Linked DNA regions of Caenorhabditis elegans. The protein of the gene in region 4 interacts with the protein of the main gene of each other region in a pairwise test. Each region holds a gene or a part of one and is shown on either strand. Other genes may lie near its edges. The genes, in order: zip-7, tbx-37, hlh-25 and mls-2.

What was found.
Region 1: the proteins of mls-2 (region 4) and zip-7 interact in a two-hybrid assay, tested with the Caenorhabditis elegans proteins (one large-scale study listed by BioGRID).
Region 2: the proteins of mls-2 (region 4) and tbx-37 interact in a two-hybrid assay, tested with the Caenorhabditis elegans proteins (one large-scale study listed by BioGRID).
Region 3: the proteins of mls-2 (region 4) and hlh-25 interact in a two-hybrid assay, tested with the Caenorhabditis elegans proteins (one large-scale study listed by BioGRID).

The regions. Positions count from the first base shown.
Region 1 is NC_003282.8:16,502,407-16,507,634, reverse strand, and holds zip-7 (BZIP domain-containing protein), read left to right. Parts: upstream 1-1,952; 5' UTR 1,953-1,965; coding exon 1,966-2,082; intron 2,083-2,185; coding exon 2,186-2,380; intron 2,381-3,397; coding exon 3,398-3,505; intron 3,506-4,044; coding exon 4,045-4,182; 3' UTR 4,183-4,725; downstream 4,726-5,228. Other genes in the region: Y51H4A.935 (uncharacterized protein), read left to right, coding at 472-483, 539-673, 980-1,015.
Region 2 is NC_003281.10:11,224,287-11,228,787, forward strand, and holds tbx-37 (T-box protein 37), read right to left. Parts: upstream 2,840-4,501; 5' UTR 2,833-2,839; coding exon 2,627-2,832; intron 1,739-2,626; coding exon 1,420-1,738; intron 1,015-1,419; coding exon 598-1,014; 3' UTR 522-597; downstream 1-521. UniProt on the Caenorhabditis elegans protein: Transcription factor. Required for mesodermal induction, acting redundantly with transcription factor tbx-38. Together with tbx-38, acts by inducing cell fates in the AB lineage, thereby playing a role in development of the anterior pharynx.
Region 3 is NC_003280.10:5,533,670-5,536,942, reverse strand, and holds hlh-25 (Helix-loop-helix protein 25), read right to left. Parts: upstream 1,705-3,273; 5' UTR 1,704-1,704; coding exon 1,546-1,703; intron 1,490-1,545; coding exon 1,259-1,489; intron 1,212-1,258; coding exon 794-1,211; 3' UTR 538-793; downstream 1-537. Other genes in the region: hlh-26 (Helix-loop-helix protein 26), read left to right, coding at 3,221-3,273. UniProt on the Caenorhabditis elegans protein: Probable transcription factor. Modulates lifespan and also recovery from the developmentally arrested larval state known as dauer, perhaps acting upstream of phosphatase PTEN/daf-18.
Region 4 is NC_003284.9:4,758,251-4,763,302, reverse strand, and holds mls-2 (Homeobox protein mls-2), read left to right. Parts: upstream 1-1,662; 5' UTR 1,663-1,690; coding exon 1,691-1,878; intron 1,879-1,934; coding exon 1,935-2,170; intron 2,171-2,408; exon of another isoform or gene 2,409-2,607; intron 2,608-3,483; coding exon 3,484-3,606; intron 3,607-3,659; coding exon 3,660-3,748; intron 3,749-3,794; coding exon 3,795-4,021; intron 4,022-4,067; coding exon 4,068-4,230; 3' UTR 4,231-4,499; downstream 4,500-5,052. UniProt on the Caenorhabditis elegans protein: Transcription factor that binds to the promoter of target genes. Regulates fate specification and/or differentiation of multiple cell types arising from the embryonic mesodermal (M) lineage and the ABp(l/r)paa precursors.

The DNA.
Region 1 (5,228 bases), on a different chromosome or scaffold from region 4:
AATTATAGAAAATTAAATTTTCCACAAATTCGCAGTTGACAACTTTTTCCAAATTTATCCGGAACCAAGATAGACGTATTAGAAGTTGGTAGTGGCCGAGGTTTTTCACCTCCACGGCCACAAGGCCAACACCCCCCAACTCATTATACCCCCGTGGTCCTAATGTGGTAACGCAATAATCTGTGTGTGCGTATGTTCAAGTACACATACCCCAAAAACTTGCGTAATTTCTTTGAATTTACCGCTATTCTGACATACGGAAATTTGAATATTATCGGGGGAAACGCGTGAAAACGTATTGAATGGAAAAAAATGTTGAAAATAATTTTAATTTTTTCGTGAAACTGGGAAATAATTTTCAAAAAAAACGTGTTTTTTTTTCAAAGTCGCCAACTAAAAATCAATAATCGAAAAAATCAGTTTCGAATTTTGTTTAAAAATTCCATTCCACTGAAACGAAGAAGAAGCCAAATGATTGCACAAGTCAGTTTAAGCCTGCCTGCCTGCCTGCCTGCAAAAAATGCTCCGAAATTTACAGCTCGTGCTTCCAATTCTTGTGATTTTCGGATCTCTGGTGATGAATTGTGGCGGAAAGAAGAAGAAGTCAGCAAATTCTCCGGAAGGAACAAATAAATCAAAGTTAGGGGCTCCAAAGGAGAAGAAGGATGAAACTGTGAGTTGTGTGACCGCGACGCGACCGCAACGCGACCGCAACGCATTGTTTAATTAATTTTGCTGATTTGGGATACGTACCACAGGTTTCTGCCTTCCCTCCTATTCTGAAATGTAAGAGTTTTGCCGAACTAGGCCATTTTGGCTCAGTAGATTTACGGGGCGTTGCGTGTCGCGTCGCGGCTCGGATTTGTCCGTGTGAAGTACACGACACTTTCCCACGCGTTGTCCGGCAGGCGATTGTCAATAGAGCGCGAATAATGCAATGAGGAAGGTCCTACTTTTAAAGAAACAATTCTGATTTCAGGAAGGCAACTACGAGGAGCTCGCCGTGCCACAATAATTTTCAGGATTCTCATTTTTCACTTGAATAAACCAGTTTTATTGGGATTTTTGTGTTAATTTTTGAATTTTTGAATTGGTGCCTGTTTCATGTGAAGCATTTAACAAGTGGAATTTACAAGGGAAAATTGTTAGCAAGTTGAAGTACGAGCGTTTTTTACAGAAGAAGTAGTATCTCCTCAGCCATTGTAGCTATCAAAAAGTTGTCAACTGGGAAAATATTTATAAATTTATGTTGAACATTTTTTTAGTTGGCAACTTTTCACTAGCTCCGATACTTTTTCAGTTATGGTAGTTTTTCGCGCAAAACTCCAACTAAAATTACCGATTTTTAAGTTTGAAGGCTTATATCTCCTTAGCTATTGAAGTTATCAAAAAGATTTTAACTATGAAAATATTGCAAAATTGATTTTAAACATTTTGTTGGTTGACAACTTTTTATTAGCTCTTACACTTTTCAAGTTATGCCCAGTTTTCCCCACGGAACTCCAAGACATGCCCACCTATTGCCACCTCGTTATACATTTAGGACCACCACCAATCTCTTTTGCGGTACATTATTCAACTAACAGCAGACGGTAGTTAGTTAGTTAGAGAACAACGACGCAACGATTGCGCCATTACAGTTCAAATCATCATAAAAAGAGCCGCCCGTCTTTAGAGACCCCGTGGGCAAATGGGGGAGGAGGCGGGTCTAGTAGGGCCTGTAGAGGTGTCCTGTTTGCGTGCAGACTTTTTCTCAGCATGCGGTAGCTCATAAGTTCCGGTGTAATAGTTTGGTAACTGTTGAGTAATACGGTTTTGGTTTTGAAAATTTAAAAAAAATTCTGTTTCAAAAAAATTTGTTTTATTATAATTTTTTTCAACTTATTACTGTGTTCTTTGGAAGCTTTTTCCTAAATTTCTAGCCATTTTCCACCAATTCTCCACCAATTTCCAGATTATTTCCAGATGATGACAGACATTCAACAGCAGCTGGCTGCCTCGAGAATGTGTGATTCGGATTCTATAAAGGCATTCAATCAGATGTACGCACAGAATCCGTATGGAGCAGGAGCTTTTGATAAGGTTTGTAATTTTTTTTGGAATTTTTCTGAAATTTGAAAAAGTAAAAAAATTTTTTTACTGTTTCAAAAATGCTTTTTAACAAAAAATTAAATTTTTTTCTTAGAACTACTCCGCAGCCACTGCTCTCCCATTTTTTGCTCAACATTTCGCGCCATACGCGAATCCCCATGCCACGTCATCTTTTTCCCCGTCATCGTCTTCCACGTCATCCACCACGTCGTCTCAAAATCAGCAGAGTGGCAGCAGTGGGAGTAAGAAGAAAAAACCGGTTCCGGTGCCGGAAAATCAAAAGGATGAGGTAAGAGATTAAATGGCCGAGAAATGAGAAAACTCGGCCACCAGAAAAAAACGGCCGATCTGCTAGTGTTAGATGTGGCCGAGAAAAAATGGCGGCCGAGGTTTCCTGGATTCCTTCTGCCACAGGGTTCTGGTTTTCCTCATTGAATGTTTCGCGCTCCATTGACAATCGCCCGCCGGACAACGAGTGGGAGAGTGTCGTGTACTCCACACGGACAAATCCGAGCCGCGACGCGACACGCAATGCGACGTAAATCTATCCCAGATATGGCCGAGCCAAAATGGCCTAGTTCTGCAAACTCTTCCATTTCAATTTATGAGGCCAGAAAACCGTGTTCTGCTATGAAAATTGAACTGTTTTTTTTAATTTCCGCTGGTTTTCAAAGTGGTGGCCGAGTTTTTTCTCTAATTTCACTGCCACGAAGTTGAAAAATTGATTTTTTTAAACTGAAAATAGAGTTTTTTTCTGATTTTTCAGTGAAAAAACGTTATTTTGGACCAATTTTGCTGATTTTTCTCGTATTTTGCATTTAAATCGAGATAAGTTGACAATTTTAATGTAAAATACAAAAAAAATCAGCAAAAAAGATCCAAAATAAAGTTTTTTAGCCGTATTTTTCTTAAAAAGGCGTATGAATTAAAAAGTCGTATGAATTTAAAAAGTCGTATGAATTAATAGCTAGCCACGTGTCGATTTACGGAGGCCGTGTACTCCTCGTGGAGTTGATTTCTCTGGGTTTTCGTTTGAAAAAAGTATTTTTATGCCAATTTTGCTGATTTTTCTTGTATTTAACGTTTGAATCGGCAATTTTTGAGTTAAAAACTATAAATTATGTCATAAAATGACAATTTACCATCAAAATCCAACAAAAATCAGTGAAAATTGGCCAAAATCAAGCTTTTCAGCCGTTTTTTTTTCTTCAAAAAACCAGTGTAAACTCTTCCACGAGGAGTACACGAGCTCCGTAAATCGACAGCTAATAGTCCAAAATCCTCTCGAATAAATCCAATTTTCCAGGCCTATCTCGACCGGCGCCGCCGAAACAACGAAGCCGCCCGTAAATCCAGAGAATCTCGCAAGAAAGTCGATCAGGACAATAGTGTTCGTGTAACATATTTGGAGAGGGTACGTTTTCAAAATTTCCCATAGATAATAATCCTTTGCATCATTTTTTTTGGCGGGTTTTTTTTTCCAAAAAAGGGCTTAATTGATGACGTCATCAGTCAACAGGTGTCAGCCTGGCTACGCAATAACTTTGAGAACGCGCCCACGCCGACTTTTCCCAATTTTTCAATAAATTTCGGGAATATCAGATGGCTTTTTGTAGATAACCGACACTTTTAAAAGTACTTTTTGATAGTTTTGCAAACGCGCTCTAGTGCACACGTACAGTAACGTTTGTTCCCTTAATGGTGTTCCACTTTTCGATATGTTCACCAAGAATGGTGTTGGAAAGATTTGTTGGTTTGGAGCAGTAGGTAGTGGACGCAGTTCGGTGTGAGCACTCGTTGGATCAATTCCAGGGAGTGGCTTTTCTTTTTTGTTTCGTTAAAGTTTAACTTTACTTTTTTTTCGGACTAAAAATAAAGAGTAACTCTGATAAAAGGCTTAGTTCTGACGGCATAAAATTTTTATCAATCAATTAATAATTATTTTTTCTCCAGGAAAATCAATGCTTGCGAGTCTACGTCCAACAGCTCCAACTACAAAACGAATCGATGAGACAACATTTGCTCCTGCAAAATCCGGGCACTATAGACACTATGGACCCGATTGCCATGGCGAATATGCCGAGTTATTAAGCTTCTCCCCTCCCACACAAAATCATCTCATTCTTGCACACACATTCAAATCCTTGCTTCTGTATCGAATTTCCACACACCACCCTCTCATTGCGTCACTTTTTTTTTGTAATTTTCTGTAAAAATATAGCTATTTTTGAAGAAAAATGCATTTTTTCAAAAAAAATAAATGAGCGACTACGGTAAGCAATTCCGAGTCTGCAAACACCGTCACGGCAGAATGCACAGAAAAACTCATTTTCAAATTATTTTTCGCTCAGTTTTCGCTAATTTCTCCGAATTTTCGCGTTTTTTCTTTAATTTTTGTTAGTTTTTGATTGTATTTTGTCGATTTTTCACTCTTCGAAGCTGTACCGACTGTAATTTGACACTTTCCGCACGAAAAAATGAGAAAAATCTCAGAAAATAGGTGTATTCAGATTTTTCCCCATTTTCCTCCGATTTTCTGGGCATTTTCTGGGCATGTTTTTCAAGCTAAATTCGCTGATTTTCGAGCTAAAGCAACTTTAAAATCCAAATTCTCTAATAATAAAACAGTTTTTCAGCTTACTCGACTTTTTCCCGGAAATTTCTGAATTTTGCTCATTTTCCGAGGTATTCGTGGATTTTCCTCCCGCTTTTGACCAGAATTAATGCTGAAATTCAATTTTTCAGCTAATTGTACCCTAAAATTGGACGGAAAAATGATTTTTCCATTATTTTCCCGGCAAAGCATCACCTGAGTGATTTTTACTACTTTTTCGACGGAATATATAACGTTTTCAGTAATTTCTCGTTAAATTTCCCAAAAAACTCGTTCAAAATGCTGGAAAAAGTCGAAAAAACTCGAAATTCCAAGAAAAACCAGTTTTGAATATTTTCCCGGGGGGTACGGTAGATTTCGTCGTGTGCAAACACCGTCACGGCAAATTGCACAGAAAAACTCATTTTCAAATTATTTTTCGCTCGTTTTCTCTGATTTTCTGCATTTTTTCATTTTTTCTATAGCTTTTTCATGATTTTTTCGGGTCTAAACATCTAAAAATCACTAAAATTGCATAATTCCG
Region 2 (4,501 bases), on a different chromosome or scaffold from region 4:
AGTCTATGTAGTTTTTGTAGTCTGTGAAGTTTTAGCTTCTGGAGGGATAGTGAGTTGGGGTTAGTGTAGGGATATAGTCGGCGTACTGTAGTGGTACAATGGTGGTACGGTAGGAGTACTGTATGATTACGGTAGTCTCAGAAAAATTGGTTTTCAGCTCCAGAAGTCGGGGGCCGCGCCGGAGGTGCGGTCCACGGCTGGTAATATAAATAAATAAATTATTTAAAAATCGGTTTCATAATTTTCTCGAATTCAGAGCAACTTTTGGGAAGTTTTGCTATTTTTTTGCGTTTTTAAAAATAATTTACCCTAAATTTTGGAACTTTCCACCAACTATCGGCAATTTTTAAACGGCTTTTGCTTTACTAATTTTCCGGCAAATCCTGATTTTTTTGTAAATTTCGTAAACTTTCGCCAACTTTCGCCAACTTACAACAACTTTAGGCAACTTGCGGCAGTTTTCGCCAACTTTCGCTAACTATCTACATTCTATGAAAACAATCCTCAATTAAAAGTGCATTCAATAAATTTATTTTCAAGATCATTGTAAAAGCTAAAAATTAAAAAAAAGCGATAAATATAAATATTTAAAAAAAATCACAAATTCGGAAATCCATTATTGAGCATTTGTGGTTGTCCAATTCCACCTGACATCATCATTTGCTGCTGCCAGTACCATTGTCTCTGATAATACACATTCCAATCAAATTGAGCCCCATTTTGAGCTCCAAAATTATTGTAATTTTGAGCATTGGCACTATGAGCAGCAAACTGTGGCTGGTGGCTCTGCGGAGTCGAGAAAAAGTTTTGGTTGAAAAAATATGGGTTTTGCTGGGTATAATCCATTGGCGGGGAGATTGCTGGTGGGGTTAATGAAGAAATTGCCGAGGCGCTGCGCTTTGGCGGGGAGTTTTCCGAATTTTCAGACTCTGAAGAAAGCCGTCTCTTGCCATTTGAACGGAATCCGGAGGCGAATTTATTGTGATGGACCTTGAGTTTTGTGAGTTCTTCGTTCTGGAAAATTACATAAAATTGGTAAACATTTACCTAGACTTGTATTAAAAACTACGGGAAAAATGTATGATTTTTCAAAATTTTAAAGCTCAAATTCGAATTACTCTCGATTTTTTTTTATAACTAAACCGTTTTTTAAAGCCAAATTCGGCCATTTCGAGGTTACTGTAGCTTCGAAAGTGCGCAAACACCACAGATACACCACATCCACACGGACAAATACATTTTGTTTTACAATCGAGCCGCGACGCGACACGCAACGCGCCGTAAATCTACCCCAGATATGGCCGAGCCAAAATGCCTAGTTCGGCACAAACTCTCCCATTTCAGTTTATGAGGGAAACCAGAAATCCGTGAACTTTTTATATCATTTGTAGTTTTCGAAATATTGCTGAAAATCCCAACCTGATAAGCAGTAACAACGATAAATTGCGTAGCCTCCAAGCGAAATTCAACTCCATGAAAATCCATTTGAAATGTTCCTTTATAAGGATCCAGCTGTTTGATATGCAAAACTGGAATGTATTTGTGCAGACTTTGAGCTAAAATCAGCTTCTGATCCTTGTTTTCCGGGTCATTAGTGATTTTGAGGTGAGCAAACGAGACGGGCTCACTCATCCATTCTGTTCCAGTACGCTTGCCACGTGGATGCTCTTTGTACTGGATTGGAAGAATTGGATCACCTTTTCCGGCTTCTTTCCATTCTCCGGCATCGAACTTGTATCTGGAAATGGAAAATTAGAAACGAGATATTTTTTTTGAAAATTAGAAACGAATATTTTTATATTGATTTTGTTGCAGAAAAATGCGCTTATGGGGTTATTCAAGTATTGTCGGAAAATTAAAAAGTGTAGAAAAATTACGTCACAACTGTATTCAAGTATATAAAAACATGTATTTAAATACATTTGTGACGTCACAAATGTATTTCAATACATTTTGCTAAATTACTTGAATAACCCCATTAAAATCCGCTTTTTATCCGATTTTTCCGATTTTTAATATTGAGGGGCATTATTAGCATCAATATTTCAAAAACTACAAAAGTTATCAAAATTTTGTCAACTAAAAAACTGTAGAAAATTCAAATATCTACAAACTGTTAGTTAACTGCTTTTCTATAGGGCAATTCCTAAAAGAGTTGCGGGCGCTGGAACTTCAGAAGCTGAGAAGAAACAATTTTTGGTTCAAGTGACAGAAAATAGCCCGTAATGACCAAATATAACTGTTAAAAAAATTTTCCAACTTTTCTAAATAATTTATGATTTTTTTCTAATTTTGTCAAAAAAAAATGGGAGATTAGACTCCACTCACTTTTTCGAAATATCCTGGCAAACTTAATCCGGAAAAAATCAGTTTGAAAAATCATTTAAAAAATTTAGAAAAAATTTTAACGGCTATATTTGGTCATCACAGTTCAATATTTACGTCAATTAAAGCAAAATAAATTTACTCTATGCTATAGCAGTTTAAAATTCCAACTTTAAACTTGTATATCTCTCTAGGCATGCATCTAATCAAAAAGTTGTCAACTACCAAATTGTAGTAAATTTAATTTCCTACAATTTACTTACTAGTTGACAACTTTTTTCTATCATTTATTCCAACTCACTTAATCCCGTCAACACGTTCCAAATGAATATAAATCGAGTAGAGACTATCCGGATCCAATCCTTTGACGTTATAATCCAAATGCGGAAAAATGACTCTCCCACGCTTTCTCGTCACAATCATTTCAGTTTTCGGGTAGAACTTTTCCCAAATCTCCGGCTTGTTCAAAGAGACCTCAATTCCAGAAGGAGAGGTGCACGAGTACATAGTGATGCTGTAATAGAGGGAAATTATTATGAAAATATTAATACAAAAGATTTCAAAAGGTGAGAACGGAAGTAAAACAATAAAATAATAATAATGGCGCTAATTGTAATAAAAGTGCAAACAACACTCTCACTCATGCTCTGAAACTGAGCCGGTAAGTGGGAGGAGCGGGAAGAGGTAGATCACGCGTAGTGGTGGACACGTGGCAGTCGGGCACAACTTGGTACATACATATGAACGCATGGGGGCCCTTCTCCTAATTGAAGAACAGAGGGTTAGGCTGTATTCTTAACGGGGGAACACTGGAAAAGTGTAGTTGAAATTTATAAATATTAAAGATGGAAAACCCCCGTTAGCACTGGAAATGTTGGATTTGAAATTCGCGAGCAGATAACTTTAAACAGAAGCTCAAATTTTATTTCATACTCGAAGACGTAAAAAGAACTTTCTAGAAAATCAAAAAATGCGCGGAAATTCGAATTTTATAGCATTTTTTTAAACCTTTTTTTGGTTGAAACCAGAGGTGTGCGGCAAATCTTAAAATTTGCCGAGCTGGACAAATTCAGCAAATTCGGCAAATGTGTTTTTTGGAGAAATAAAAATACGGAATTCTTAGCAAACGTTTGGTTTTTCAATAAGGTTAGTGTAGTCTGCCTGCACAAAATTTAAAGTAATTCAATTTTAATGATATTTTATTTTCCAGAATTTTTGGCATAAAGTTATTAGCTGGTTTTTTCACATTTTTACACCCTATAAGTGTCAATTTACTGAACTTCTAGCCAAAAAATTTTTAACAAAAAAATTCAAAATAATTCACACCATAGTAATAATGATGAGCTACACCACGAATTAGCAAAAAAGACGAAAAAATACCAAAAAAAAAATTGAAAACTCACCAAACTGTGAGCCAATATTACTGTCAGAATCCAGAACGCCTCTTTCACCTCCCACTGAGCATCTTTGTGCTCCTGTAGTCTTTAACAATCCAGAATGTGTAGTTCACACTTCGAAAGTATACCTCCACCTACACCTCGACACCTCACACTTTAGTGATAGCGGTGCGAATTGGCTCTGAAGGAGAAGATGTGTCGTGCTCAGCGGGAGGGCGGGAGAATGATTTAGAGAGGAGTATCATGGGATTTGTCAGAGATTTTTCAACAAAAATTATAGTGAAAAAATTTACAATATTTTATTAGTTGGCAACTTTTTAGTAGCTTCTACAGCAGGAGTGTCCAGAAAACTTGCCAAATTTGCCGAATCCGGCAAATTTCGTAAAAGTATATTTTTGATATTCGCCGCACACCACAAAAAATTGGATTTTTTTAATTTGACAAAAACTATTGATTTTGTACTAAAAATTCTAGTAAAATAACATAAAATTTAATTATTTTGAATTCTATGTAGGCCGACCACATGGACGTTATTCAAAAATCAATCGTGTGCTAAGAACTCCGTAATTTTGGTGCTCCAAAAAAATATCAGAAATTTTCTAATTTTTAGGAGTTCGCTCATCACGGCAAATTTGCTAAATTTGCCGAATTTGCCAAATTTGCCGCACACTTCTGCCCTACAGCAATCGCGTGACAGGAGTTATAAGTTTTAAGCCTTTCCTCATTTTTTTCCAATTGAAACTTGCATATGCAATGCAATTTCTGTTAATTAACAATTT
Region 3 (3,273 bases), on a different chromosome or scaffold from region 4:
CTATAAAAAGGGGAAAGCCACGCCCATAAAATGGCAAAATAATTTGTTGTCCATCTACGGGTCTCGCAGCGAAAATCAAAGTTTTTTCGGTTTTATTTATTTATCTTTTTTTGGGAAATTTAGAAACTAATTTTTAAAATGATTGCAATTTCCGAAAAAATTAAATTTTCAAATGATTTAGTAGGGAAGATTATTAATTTTTCAAAAAACCTCAAAAATGACATCCTGTCCCAGCTTCACTGAATATCGGATGTTTCCGGATGATGTCGACAATCTGCTGACCGGCTTCATTTAAGAAAACATCGAAAAGCTTTAATTTTAGAACTTCCCCGTATGGAAAAGTTTATCGCCACTTTTTCAATTTTCCCTATGTGTTTTTTTTCCAGAATGGGACATCCCACAAAACTTTGACGTAAGTTTAAATTTTTTGAATTTTCTGAAGAGCGCACCATTGAATATTCTCTAATACAATACTCAGGTGTAGGTCAATAGGTTTGGTATGTGGCAAGAATGAACAAATTAATGTTGAAATGTGAAAACAAAATTTCAATTTATTAGAATTTGGCTTATCATAAGTATAATACATTTTCAATATATTGGCATTAGATAAACATTCAAAAAGTTTGGTGACATAATGAAACAATGACAAGTTGATATTGTGAATGTGGCATAATTTGAGATTACGGGGATGTGAAAAATATAATGAAAGAAAACCAGGAAAGTTTTGACAGCCTTAGAATAGAGTATAATAAGTTTTTTTTCAGAAATTGTAAATTTGCAGGAGATCGATAGACTAGTTAATTATATCGAGGGTTTCTTCATTTTCTTCCTCGTCACTAGTTTCTGGTGTTAAGATTTGAAGTGATGGAAGAATGAATCGGAGGGGAGCAGAAAATATTGATGGAACGGTGTTGTAGTTTGACAAGACATTGAACTGAGTAGTTGGGATCATTGGAATACATGGAAATGTGAGCAATGGAGAAGTAGATGTTGGGGATTCTTGAACTTCTTGAAACGTCAATCTTGGGAAGAGATCCTTCACTTCCATTCGTGTTTTTGGCTTTTCATTCTCTTTGTTCTCACAAGTAGCAGTTGATTTTCCAGCTAAAAGAGGAAGTATTTGGGGAATTGTTTCTGGATACAGAAGATCGGAATTGTGTTTAATGTAATCAATGATGATTTCTAGAATTGTGATCCGTTCAAGTTTTAATCTGAAAATAATTTTTTGAATTTTTATTAGCCATAATGAAACTCTTACCGTTGCTCGTAACTTCCCATTTGTTTGTTCAAAATGAAGAATTTCAATTCAGCATAACAGTCATCTTGTTTCTTTCTTCGAATCTTTTCACGTTCAGTCTTCACTTTTCTTCTTTCGGATTCAGTATCAAACTTCCGTCTTGTAGATTCGGAGAGGTCATTCGATGAGAAATTAGATTCCAGATTAACTCCAGTCACAAGTTTCACAATTCGGAAGAGAACTACTTCTTGTCTAAAAAATGAATTAGTTTAATAACTATTTTAAGCTAACAGAGTATTTAAACTTACGATATATGTTCTTCTTCTGATTTTTGAACAATCGTCTTGCATTCGTTAATCAACTCGTTTGTAATATTTCTTCTTTTCCGTTCAGAAGCTGATTTTGGAGTTTGATTGTATGGGACGGAACGATAATCGCTCATTGAAGACTGAATAACTTTTGGCATCTGAAATTTAATAATTTTCATTAATTTAAAATCAATAAGAAATGTAGAATTTATAAAAATTCAAGATGAGCCGTTAAAAAGGAATAATTGTGACAAAACAGATAAATGGGACCAAGAAAGCAGCACAAATTGATTTAGTTTAGTGAGATAACTCGTACTGTTTTTCTAGAAGTATACAGTTCACTGAATGCTTTAAAAGTAATTGATCAAAATCAGTACACTTTCCTGATGTTACAATTATCAAAAAGTATACTAAACCAGCAGACCAGTGATCCACTAAGAAAGTAAATGAACAATGAATAAATGGTTACCTTTTATAGTTCCATTATTGTTCAGAGGGTGGAGCTTTGTATCAAGCGTTTGGAGCCATGGGAATTATTCTGAAATCTCTATTTTTACAGTCCCCATCACGGGTTCCCATGGTTCATCAGTGAGGTTCTCATGAGAACGAGTCAGGACATCTCCAGTTTTGCCACGACTGGATATTGATTGGGTACAGCCTGGGAAATTTCGGCGGAGACTGTGAATTGACATTAACCATTTTTATCACTCATTTAATCAGCTTGCCTAATCATTATTTGTCTTTAATTCGCAAAGTTTCCAATATTCAAGATCTGATTCTAATAAAAATTACCAGATTGATGTATATGATAATGCATAGAACATACAACTACCAAATTTTACGGATTCATTCAGTTTATCACTCAAATATGGCAGTTTTTCATTTTCTGAAAATAATAAGCCAGTTTAATTTTAACATATAACCTTACTGATTTTGAGAACTCCGGTTTGCTGGAAATGCTCACACAGCAACAGAAAAAATTCACACCGGATACATGTAGGTGCCAAGTTATAAGAAAAGTGTCACACGCTGAGATGGAAACCTCGTAAATTAAAAATAAATTGAGATTTTTTTAAACTTGGATATTGTTTTTTAAAACATTTCTAGAACAGCTTGATATAAATATTTTAAACTATCATGTAAAGGAAAAATACTATAACCTAATTCATGTATTTGATTATTTGAGTTAATTAATATGCATTTTTATTTTAAATATTCTAAATTCTTCTTTTGTATTATATATTTACATTTTTAAATTCCATCGAGCTCCGATTTTACCAAATATTCATTTCAGGATTATTTTTTCCCACCAATCAATAACTTCGTTCAGGTTGTGACCCTTCGCATTGCTTGGGTTCTCAGGCTGCCACGGCAAGAACTGGAGATGTGGTACTCGATGCACCATGAGAACCACGCGTAATAAAGGTATGGATATCAGATTCCCATGATATTCCAAACGATGAGAATCCCCGCCTATTGAAGAAAAAACTCGAACATATAATGGAAGGTAGTCATTATGTTTTTGCATACTTGAACTGTAAGGTTGGTTCTTTTCAACGTTTTCATAAGTCTTTAATTTGAACTGCCTTTCATATTTTGTAGTCTCCCTATTACGGTTTTTGTCTAATAATCTTTTGTTAACTATTATTATTATATTTCAGATCCTTGACTCATAATGTCTTCCTCTCCAACTTCGTCATCATCTGGGTCCCCTTCTTCACATGGACA
Region 4 (5,052 bases):
TCAATTCCATTTTCTCATTCTCATCCTCATCTTTCATTTCATTTCTGCTCATTTTCAGCTCATTTCTATGAACGCCACTACTATCAGCCATTACGTGTGTGCATGTTTTTCCTCGACCATATTATTCTGTACAAATACGTCGTCGCCTTATTTTACTATTACCGGTTTTAATGAGATTGTGTTGAATTATTTTCTCCCCCCTCCCTATTTGAAACCAAACGAGCGCGCACACAAACACATGAGAGCGGGCGGGTAAGCGTCTTGGGTCCCAATTACCGTATATCATGGAAGTGGGTGGAGCTGTGGACGTTCATTCAATACGGCTGTGCTCACCTCAACTCGTTTTATTTTGCGTTTGATCAAAACTAAAACTTGATTTTTTTTTCAAATGTTCGTCATTGGACTCTCAAGGGTTAATCAGGAAAAAAAACACATTTCGTGATTACTTGTTTGCTTCGAACTTTTTTTCAAGCTTCATAAGACTTCATGTGATAGTTTCCGATTCACTTCCATCGACTCTTGATTCATCTCTTTTCCCTCAGTTTTGCATGGGTTCTCTAAGGTATCAGAAATCTCGTCTAAAATTTTCATTTGTAAATTAAACCCCCATTCTGAAAATTAACAGTAATACGAGTGTTCTTTTTTCAGCCAAAAATGATTTTTTTGGAAAGTATGGAAAAAAGTAGTTTAAAAGATGTCATCACAATATTGGCAGTACTCTTTTCAACTTCCTGTACATCAAAATATCAAACCATTTACCGTATTTTCCCTATTAGGATTTCAACCCAGTTTCCATCTTTACCAGCTTAACACGAACAAAGTACTTGTCAATTTTTTTTAGCGGTTTGTAGTTTCTTATCTTTGATACTGAACACAGATATAACGTTTCAAATAGTGTGGTACAGTACTATTCAAGGAGTTACGGTATTCGAACACATTTCAAGTGAACAATGATCCTGAGTGTTTTGCTCATCGAGCCTATATTAGATATCTCTCCTGTTTCCATCATTCCTCATTATTACCTTTTGCACTCCGAATTCGACACTAACCGCGGATAAGCTGCTGCTTGACCCGTGCGTTCGCATAGCAACAACGATCCACTAACATCTCGAATTTCATATTTAAATTAATAATGTTTTGCTTAAAGCATAACTGATTAGCTTTTTGGCATTCTCGTTGGAATATACATTGAACCTACATTACAAAATCAATTGATCATCAATTTTGAAACAATTGATAGAGTCGCTCAGCGGAAAAAAAACGGTTAATTGTTGTGATTAATGGTGTTAACCAAACATAGTAATCCACTTAAACGAATTAGACATTAAGTTGGACAGGGCGTATTGCCTAGAAACATCTCTGTTTTGCTTGATCACTTAACACATTAGCGGAAAAGCAAGCAGGGAGTTCTTCGAGATCCTCAGATTCTGCTAAACTTCTCTCAACTGTATTCATAGTCGTTTTCCTATTGGTCAACCATTGTTTATATAGTTTTGATATCCGTTTTCTTAACACTACCAAAGACAATAATTTGACTTGGTCATCATTTCATTATTACTCCTCTCCTTCCCATTTCCTACACCCCATTTATCCGCGAACGCTCGCCCAGCTACCGTAGTCTTGAATGGTGGGGCGGGGCTACTCATTAGTATTCTCGATTAGCCCTCAGTTGACTCTATTTTTCTCAAACATGCCGACTTCAGTTATGAATCTCCCTATTGATATGACGACAATGAGCTCGCAAGAACGTCTCGAAAAAATGTCACAACTTCCAAAGATTGAACTGATGGAGGAAGAAGAGGAAGAAGAGATGAAGCCAAGTTCAGATAATAAGATTAAATTCAATATTTCTGAGTTGCTGGAAGATGACAGAAAACCGTAAGTTGAACATTTTCATTTATTTTCCTTTTATTTGTATAAAATTAAACTTTCAGAACTACACAAAGTTCCCCGTCGGCATCTTCAGAGGATAGCACCAATGAAATTGAGCAAACGGCGTTTAATTTCAATTTTGATCCAAAAATGAATCCGATTTCTGCCCTCCTGCAACTTCAGCAAACTTTCTTGAACGTCGGCAATCAACAAAACATGATCTCACCACTTACCATGTTCCCATTCTTTGGACTTCCGACTGCTCAACTAATGCACTTCAAAAACATGAGCAACCCAGGTCAGTAGATATTACCCAACTTCCTCTCTCCTTAGTCTGTCATTAGTTAATGTGTGAAAGAATCCTACCATATTTCATTTCATTCAAAACAGTGTTCCGTTTACCACTATAATTTTCGGTCGGTTCTCTTTATTCTCCGAATCTCAGAACACCCCTTAATACAGTAACTAATTCATTTTCTGACCCATTGTTATTGTATGGTCTCGAATTAGCCAAGTCTGGACTCATTAACAAGTTGAACAACGGTATTGGATGAACATATGGAAAAAGGAGGGGGGAGGTTGTCGGCGGATGCAGTTCCTTTCTTAGGATAAGAATCAGAATCGCTCGCCTGTGTTGAACTCAACTAATTATCTTTTGTTGGGTAACACCACACGCGGTATTCATTGATTCTTGAAAGGATGTGCTCAAACAGCAATAAGTTAATAACGTGAGAATACTAAACCCCATGAGCTCGGTGACGCGTGTCAGGTCCTTGACTTTTATTTTGATTCTAAAAATAAATACATTCAATTAAAAATTATAGAGAAACAACTTTTTTTTTCAGATTCAAAGTTTTTAATAATGAAATGTGGCCTGTAGGGAATTACCAAATGTCATACTAAAACATTTCAAAAATGTTTTAAATAAAATTTATTTTTAGTCAAAGAACATTGAAAACTCATAGTCCGCTTTTACCTAATTTTTGGCTCAAAATTTTTTTAAAAACAGTTTTATTTTGATATTAAGCCATTTTAACATTACAAAAATGCTGATTAATTATTTCCCCTCACAGGTCCAACTTTAAGCCATTAAGTTTTCCGCTCAGTTGATTTGGCAAAGCAAATCAGCGTATTGTAAAATAACATCATCACGCTGTTTTATTACGCTGACTCTGTTGATACATGTGGTTTTGCCACTGATTTGTTTTTGATAACATGTGAAATGATCAAAACAGCAATAGAAATCTCTTATTCTAATGAGCCTTTTCCATTTCGCATGAAAAATCAGGCATACGCATGAGCGCACATTTTTAGTCGTCAATATTCGTAACGTAAGCGGCTACACTTCGGTTTTTAAGAGATTCTAATTAGTCAACGAAGAATCAGTATTGAAAACTAAAGGTAGTTCTTAATATAGAGACATCTATTTATAAAGGTGTCATTTTGACCGACACCCGTGTCCTAGTAATCCCCCGTCCATTGAGATAATTAACCGATGGACCACGGGGGGATGTGTTATAATTGTGGCCTGTCAATGGAAGTATCTTAATGCAATATGGTTAATATGCCTGTCAGGAATTAAGTAATTGTTGAAAATGTGTTTCCTTACAGATGTTAATATTCAATCAGACAATGGAGAAGAGAAGGATGAAAAATCGGAGGGAAAAGATGGGGAGACCAGGGATTCCACTGGTGGCAGCCCGCTGGAGTCTGACGCAGAAGATGACGATGATAGTGAGTTGAATTTAAAAATGTGTCCACAAAAGTGTCCATAAACTGTATTTCAGTTGGCCGTGGAAGCGATGATGAAGCCAACTCTAGCGATCCATCACAAAATAGAAAGAAGAAAACCAGAACCGTCTTCAGCAGGAGTCAGGTATCAGAAATTGTACATTCCGAACTCAAATAATACTTTCATTCAGGTGTCCCAATTGGAAATGATGTTCGAATGCAAAAGATATTTGAGCAGTCAAGAGAGATCAAATTTAGCACAGAAGCTGCACTTGACGGAGACCCAAGTGAAAATTTGGTTCCAAAATCGACGAAACAAGTTCAAGAGACAAGCTCAGACTGATGACACGAACATTTCCCTGCAGATGCATAGAGCTAATGTGTTTTCGATTCCAGCAACCACAGCTCTTACATCTCCGTGAGTTTACTGTTTCATGAAATTAATTCTAAATTTTATATTTCAGAATCCTTACGATCCCAACGACCAGTGCTGGTGTGAACATGAGAAATATGATTTCATCTCCAATGGATGCTTCTGCAACTGCCGCCGCGCGGTTTCTTTTCGGTTTTGGTACACTTCAGGCACAGCAAAACTTGAATGCGTCGGCTCAAGCGCAGAACATGTGAACACCTTATTACTAATTTAGACTCACCCCCTGTGCAATTCAACTCAACCTCAACACATTTTTCATCTCATCACTGACTCTATCTCTTCACACTTGATTTTTGATTCATCGCCCTTCGTATATATTTTATTTTTCATACCCTATATGTTTATTATGTGTCATTCTGTGTATTTTATAAACTATCTTCGAGCACATGATAATTCAGTTCATCAATCCTTTCTCTTTCACTAAATAATTATTTATTGAGTAATAAATTTACATTATGAATACATACAATACAAAAATGATAGAAACTTTTTGATGTGTAAAAGACCATTTTCCAACAGATTATGATGGTAGCAAAGCTACTCTTTTCACATACATACATATACTAATATTTAAGATGAAATTTCAAAACAAATGTTCAAATTCCATCAACTGCAGAAATATCAGAAAACTTTTATTCTGCTTGAAGAACGAAAACTTACAAAATTTCCAAAAATTTGAATTGTATTACTTGGATATAAAATAATAGTTTGTCTCCTTTGTATGTAGTATCTGTTTTTTTAAAGAGTTTTTGTTGTGTTTTGAAAGGTTAATGGTTAAAATTAGTAGAATGAATTAGGGTAGTGTAGTGTAGGTGTTCAGTAGGCAACTTTGAAAAAAGTAAGTTGTTATGCTTTGAAATAATATTGGAGAGTCAAAAGTATTAGAAATCTCTGTCTTAAACAGTACAAAAACGCTCGAGAAATTTTTGAAGAACTGTTTTGAAGAACTCCAAAAAAAATTTCTAGAAATTTCAAAAATTACGAAAAAAATTCCTTCGACACTTGCTGATTTCTGA